Oryctolagus cuniculus: one gene and its partner. The protein of the gene in region 1 interacts with the protein of each later gene in a pairwise test. Links are inferred from orthologs where the notes say so. Each region holds a gene or a part of one and is shown on either strand. Other genes may lie near its edges. The genes, in order: PRR3 and ASF1A.

Region 1 (4,382 bases):
GTTTTTTGCCTTTTATTGTGGTTAAAAAATATTAAAAATGTACCATCTTAATTATGTATTAGTGTACAGTTCAATAGTGTTAAGTATATTCATGTTGTGAAACAGATCTTCAGAACTGTCTGTTGCAAAACTAAAACTCCGTACCCATTAAACAATTCCCTTTCCTCCATCCCTCTGCCCCCCAGCCCCTGGTAGCCACCATTCTATTGTTTCTATGAGTTTGACTTGAGATACCTCATGTAAGTGGAATCATACAGCATTTGTCTGTGACGGGCTTGTTTCACTTAGAAAGTCCTCCAAGTTCATCTGGGTTGTAGTTATGTGACAGCATTTTCTTCCTTTTTTAAGGTATTCCATTGTACTTTTATCTTCGCTTATCCATTCTTCTATCAATGGACATTTGGGATGCTTCCAGGTCTTGCCTACTGGGAATACTCTACGAACATGGGTGGGCAAACATCTCCTCAAGACCCTGCTTTCAATAATTTTGGATATATATCCACAAGTGGGACTGGATCATATGGCAGTTCTAAGTTTTTGAAGAAATTCCATATTGTTTTCCATAGTGCTTGTACCATTTTACAATCCCATCAATAATGCATACGAGTTCCAACTCCAACGTGGTATATTTTCATTCTGTATTTGATGACTAATGATGTTGACTACTAGTTCACACAGTTTGGGTCCATTAAGATCTCCAGAATCTGTTCTGGTCTTCTGCCAATTTTTCTAATGAACTGTCTGGAAGAGTTCTTCTTATATTCCAGATAAGAGCTCTTTATTGGTTATATTTGTTGAACATACCGTCTTCTACTCTATGGCTTCCTGTTAATCAATGTCATCTGATTAAAAGAAGTTTATGTTACCTAATGTAGTTGAATATAGTAATCTTTTCTTTATAATTTGTGTATGTGTATTTCTCATCTAAGAACTGTTAGCTACTCTAAGACCAAGAATATACACTTACTTTCTACAATAATTTTTCTTTTACCTTTTATACTTAGATCTGCAGTCCAACTAGTACTGTTATTTTTAAGACTGTGAGGAGGTTAAATTCCATTCGTTTCCTACACGACTATCCAACTGATCTAGCATCATTTATCGAAAAGACCACTTTTTCAGTTCTATCTTTATAAATGAAGAGCTCACACACGAAGACGTCAAAAAATTCACAGAAAACACATATTAGGAAAAAACCATGCATGCACTTTGAAAATTTTAGGCACCAAGATAAACTTATGTTTTAACTGTTTTCCATCAATTTTTTGAGGCACTTTCATTATGTGTGGGCCTGTTACTTGCCTTTTTAATCTGTTCTGTTGCATCAAAGTCACAGCTGTAACCACTGTAGCTTTACAAAAAATCTTGATGTTCAGAGTAGCCCTCTCACTTACACTGTCTTTACAGTCTCTCACCCTGATTCCCTGCATTTTCACGCCAATATTATGACTTTTCCAGTCTGTGAATGCATAACTTCTCTCCATTCACTTAGGCATCGAATCCTGGATTGTAAGATGTGAAATTCTTGCTAGGTTTCACTTCTCCTCTTGCACCCTTCTCCAGCATCTAATACAAGGATCCGGGTCCCCTCCTCCTCACCTGACTTGGGGTCACCAGGCTTTCCATTGGCCATGGGGGGAGGGCCCAGAAGGCTGGGTGGTCCTAAGAGTAGACATGAAAATACCGTCATCAGAATGGGCTATGATCCTGTCCTCAGATGTCCTTCTAGAATGCACTCCTTAACTCAATCAGCGAAGTGAGCTATGTATCATCAGTGTTGCACATTCTCACCCCATCTGTGGGCCCTTTCCTCTGCCAAGCTGTTTCCATGTTCTGCTAGAAAGCAGAGACTCAGGAAACCCGGTCATGCAGGAATGACGCTGACCACTGTCTTTCCCTCATACTGGTGCAACCACAACATCCTAGGTAATTCCAGGGCTAATTCAATCCCCCACCTGAACTGCTGGCCAATCAAACAGCTCTTTTCCCCTCCCCCTCCCCCAGGGGAGTGCTTAAAAGGCGGCCGCACTGCATTCTACCCTCCTAGTTTGATCTCAGACTGCGCTCCCACCCGCCACAGCCTGCAACATCGCGCACCTCTCCTCCTGCGGCTGCGCACTCCGCACTTTAGCTTTTCCTCCCCCGCCTCCTCCAGAAAGGTTTGGGGGCCGGATAAAGGCCAGGAGTTCAGGTGAGTAAACTCCTGGCTTAAAGCTGCATGCAGGACAGCCCCTTCCCCTGCGCGTGCGCCCTCGCGCCTTCCGTGAGCGCCCCCTCCCCCGCACCTGCCTAGTCCCTGGCCCCAGCCTGGCCCAGCTGCCGAGAACGTGCGCTCCCTTACCCATGGGACAACCATCTTCCTCGTCTCCAGTCTCCTCCCGCTCGGGCCGTGGGGGCTGCTGTGGCGGCGGCTGCGGATTCTGCTTCTTTCGTTTCGGCATCGTGGCTGCGGCAATGGCTGCAGCGGGATTTGGAGGGCAGTGAGGAAGGGGCACGCTGGAAGCTGTTTCCGCTTCCGGGGGGAGCCCGGTGGGCAGCGGGGCTGAGGCTCCCGCCATTCCACTTCCGGGAGGCAGCGGGGAGCCCCTGCCGCGGCCGCACCCGCCCGAAAACCGCCCCGCTCCCGCTCTGCTAGGCACGGCGGCAACCTCAAACCTTACCTTTGCTGCATCTCTCCAAGTGCTTACAAGTGCCCTCTCCTCCGCCAAGAAACACCACAGTGTGCTGCAGAGCCCACGGGCTTCCGGGCCGGACGGCCTGAGAGCGGGCTGTCGCGTCCTAACGTCGCCACTTCCGGTGCCCTGTTACCATGGGAACAGCCGCAGGCACAACTCGGTGCCCTCTGACCTCCCTCCAAAAGTCCTTGTCCCACCTGGGTCTCCCTTCCCGCCCGCGCTTGGGATCTGCAGACCCGCCCGTTAGCATCGAAATTCGGGTCCCAGCAGGTCCGCGCCCGGGAACCGGCAGAACGCCACCCGCCCCTTAAGACCTCCGGCCGTGCCCCACGAGTCGCCAGCAAGCGGGCTTCCCTCTCGGGGTGCTCCGTCTCCGCTTTCCACCCAGGCCAATCCCCGCTCGGTGCTGTCGCCTCGGCGCGTCCCCGCCCCCTCCCTCCGAAGGTAGCTGGGCCCGCCCTCCGCTCCGCCGCCCCCGCCAGGTGAGTGGTAGCGTCTCCCGGGAGCGCAAGGTAGTGATGACACGCGCCCCCCCTCCTGCGGGCGCCCGTTGGTAGCGTCCGTGACGGAGCGGGCCCGATCCTCCCACGCGCGCCTCCTCCTCCACCGCCGCTGCGCCCCGCCGGTGCCGCTGACTCTCACGTGCCGGCCGCCTGCCCCGTCCCCTCAGCCCCTCGCCTCGCTCCGGGAGAGACGTGACCACCCCGTGTCTGCTTTCCGTCCCGGCAGTCGCCGCCGGCCGGCCCGGCCCGTCCGTGACGTCACCCGCTAGCCCCGCCTCCTCGAGGGTCCCGGGCCCTGGCGGCGGGGGCTGCCCCCGGGAGTCAGTTGAGGCGGCGGGAGCTCGGCGGAGGGGCGGGCCCGGTGACTGGTCCGGGCCATGCCGAGGAAGAAGCCCTTCAGCGTGAAGCAGAAGAAGAAGCAGCTGCAGGACAAGCGCGAACGGAAGCGAGGTCAGTGCGGGAGCGGGCGGAGGGGGCGGGGCTCGGGCTCCCGCACCTCTGAGGGAGGGGTGTGCCCGCTGCACCTGGGGAGGGGGCGTGGGAGGGGGCGGCGAGCGCGCGCCGAGGTGCGCGGGCGGCCGTGGAGGGGTTCCCCCATAGCTGGAAGGGGTGGGCGAGGATGGGGAGCTGGGGGAGGGGAAGCCGTTCCCGCAGCTCCCTGGAGCAGCGACTGCCCCCGCGCACATCCGGAGGGGTCCTGGGGCGCGTGGCTGGGAGGGCCGAGCCGCGGAGGAAGTTGGGTGGGTGGAGGGGAGCCAGGCCTCCCGGGGCTGGGGCCGGGGCGGGGGCGTGGGGGGGGGGTCTTATGGCCCCTGAGAGCCGGCCAGCGCTGGCGTCACCGGCCCCTCCCCGCAGGACTTCAAGATGGGCTGCGCTCCAGTTCCAACAGCCGCAGCGGGAGCCGGGAGCGGCGGGAGGAGCAGACTGACACCTCGGACGGGGAGTCTGTGACCCATCACATCCGCAGGCTTAATCAGCAGCCTTCCCAGGGCCTGGGTCCGCGGGGCTACGACCCGAATCGGTGAGCGTGGAGGGGGGACTCTGGCCCCGGGCGTCCAGGGCAAGCCGGCTGCTGGCGGGTCGAGGTTCCCCCCGCCCCAAGCCGCCGCAGCCCTCCCTGACAAAGGGGCCCGAGAGTCTGGTTTTCGCTACTGTGGGAAGGAGAGAACGGTTGGCTGGGAGAGAGACTCTCAGCGGCTCCGGA
Region 2 (2,792 bases), about 88 Mb from region 1:
AATCTTTTTAAAAAGAAAAACAAAAATCTGCTGTGTAGCTATTTGTGTTCAGTTTTATACTAAATTACTATTAGAATATTTGTGAGAGGTGGTTGTATAGGTACGAGAATATAAGTGTCCTGGGGAGAAAAGGAAAACTGGTATAAAAAACATTTGTTGCCAACTGGTTGTGTGGAAATAATTTAGTATTTACTAATTTAGGTCTGAAAATTATAACTGGAAAAAGTTAAAACCAATAGCACTATTGATTAAATTGTTTAAGTATTTTATAAAAAGTTATAATGAATTTGCATAATTCCTCATGAACCAACACACACAGTAACCAGAATTATTTCCCTCTGGAAGTTTAATGAAGCTACTTGAGGATACTGTGGAGAAACATGAGCTATATATCTACCTTTAGGCCAATCCCAAATGTAAGCATTTGTCTTCCCAATGTGATTTCCAAGTTTTTCTTGTTCCATGTTCAACTGAAAGTGCTCAGGGTAACTACAACTCCAATCTCGCCTGCCATTAACAGCCTTTTGTGTATGTTTCTTTTAAATTATTCCAGGCAGATGCACCTAATCCAGGACTCATTCCAGATGCTGATGCAGTAGGCGTAACAGTTGTGCTAATTACTTGTACCTATCGAGGTCAAGAATTTATTAGAGTTGGCTACTATGTAAATAATGAATATACTGAGACAGAATTAAGGGAAAATCCGCCAGTAAAACCAGACTTTTCTAAGGTAATGTCTTACTATTCCTTTTTAATTACTGTTACTATACAATTTTTTAGGCAGTTTGAGACAAAGTAAATTTGATGTCTTTGGGCCAGCTGGGCAAACTAATCATTGTTCCCTTACCATGGGTGACCTCAAACCCTTTCTCTATGCAAGTCATTAAGTATCTCTGATAAGAAATGGGCACTTGTTTACTGCTTCTTATATGGCATTTCCCATAGATCATGTTCACTTCAGCTTTTATGACATGGAAGTCTGTGTTTGTGTCTGCTTTTCATATAAACAGTTATCTATGCTTATATCAAAGTACCTATATGCTTTAGTTTTATTCTGTAGGAACAGCAGATAAAGTAAAGGTCTTAAATATTTCAGGTGATAGCAAATAGCTTAAACACTGAGAAGCTGAAATCTGTGATTCATTATTCTCAAGGATACTTAGTACCTTTATGGTTTTTCATTGGGAACTGTAACAGTTTACTAACTGGTGATTTTGAGAGGGTGCAAATCAAGTGAAGTTGAATAGGGCCCTCTGTCTGCCAGGCAATACAAGGAAAGTCACATGGCAGTAGAATAAAGTTCAACTTTCTGGTAATAAGGCTAGAATGTTTTTCATCCTGGCCAATCCTTTCATAGATCAAATTTATTGGTTATCTGTTTGGTAACTTGTACAACAGAAAAGAGAAGAAACTAGACTATTGTTTCCAAAAATGAACCATAATATTTAAAAGGTAGGAAATCACTAATAGCAAGAAGATGTATTTGGGAGAAATTTTCTTTCCCTTCTTAGGAAATAGAAGTACAAGAGTAGAAGAATAGATATTTCATAGTATAGTAAAAGATCTGAATGAATTCCCTCAGATTCTCCATATCTTGTTCCTATTAAGCCAAAATAATTGCTATGGTCCTAGTCCTTGTTTATTAGTTATGCTAAAGTGCTTTATTTGTCCTATACTTCTGTATATGAACGTAACCCTTCAGGAGTGCTAACATAAAGGACCCATTTCTTTAAGTATCTATTTGCATAGGGTGATTAAACTTTGGTAATGTTTACCATTTATATATTTCCTTCTTCTAGCTTCAAAGGAACATTTTGGCATCTAATCCCAGGGTCACAAGATTCCACATTAATTGGGAAGACAACACAGAAAAACTGGAAGATGCAGAGAGCAGTAATCCAAATCTACAGTCACTTCTGTCAACAGATGCATTACCTTCTGCCTCAAAGGGATGGTCCACGTCAGAAAACTCACTAAATGTCATGTTAGAATCCCACATGGACTGCATGTGACCACCTGCCATCCCTTTAGTACAAATTAAGCTATTAAAAATACACAGAACTATTTCCCTGAAATTCCGTAAGTACATAGTCAAGACAAAATGTGAAGAATTTGTTTAAAAACATCCTGTAGAAAGTTTATAAGAAAACCAGTATTTGAGCAAATTGTGGAATATAAATACAACTATTTTTAAGTAATTTTTTCTCTAATGTGTTATTTTATTTGTTCTGAAACTAATTTGATTAAAGCATATATATTATTTTTCTTCTCCTTTATATGTAATTAAAGCACTTATAAAGAAAAATATAAATCCTTAGACCAGGTTGTGAAGATGTCTTAGCCTCTCGGACAGTAATCTTTGGAACATTATTTTTTCTGGCCTTTGAAAAAAGAAAGTTCACTTCAACTAAGATGTTTCTTCCTGTTAAAACATAAAGTGTGGTTTTAATTTAAGGGGAAACTTTCCATTCCTTTTTGGCATGACTTTAAAAGGGGGATTGAAATGAATTATATGCTACCAAGGACTTTAGGATCTGTCCTTTTCAGGCCACCCTGAAGCCTTTTATGGTTACTATTACAATTAATGTAATGTGGGGCAGCATTTGCTTTAGTTTCTAAGATAACGAATGTACCTACATGTTTATAAAGTTCTTTGGGCTATGGTGTTTGTTTTTATAATGGTTATACAAAATTAAGACATCAGAGCACTTCTTGAATTGCTCATCATTACTGCCCAGTGAATTCAGCAAGTCAAGAACAAATACTTCCTAAGTTTAAGGATACAAGATTTA

The links.
Region 2: the proteins of PRR3 (region 1) and ASF1A interact in binary tests that used the Homo sapiens proteins (3 or more experiments, as listed by UniProt). The two-hybrid records come from large-scale screens. The link is inferred for Oryctolagus cuniculus from reciprocal best matches to the Homo sapiens genes PRR3 and ASF1A.

Annotation. Positions count from the first base shown.
Region 1 is NC_091436.1:139,856,803-139,861,184, forward strand, and holds the start of PRR3 (proline-rich protein 3), read right to left. Parts: upstream 2,955-4,382; 5' UTR 2,661-2,954; intron 2,459-2,660; 5' UTR 2,442-2,458; coding exon 2,342-2,441; intron 1,663-2,341; coding exon 1,600-1,662; intron 1-1,599. Other genes in the region: GNL1 (guanine nucleotide-binding protein-like 1), read left to right, coding at 3,556-3,628, 4,034-4,199.
Region 2 is NC_091436.1:51,459,472-51,462,263, reverse strand, and holds the end of ASF1A (histone chaperone ASF1A), read left to right. Parts: intron 1-553; coding exon 554-730; intron 731-1,799; coding exon 1,800-2,012; downstream 2,013-2,792. UniProt on the Homo sapiens protein: Histone chaperone that facilitates histone deposition and histone exchange and removal during nucleosome assembly and disassembly.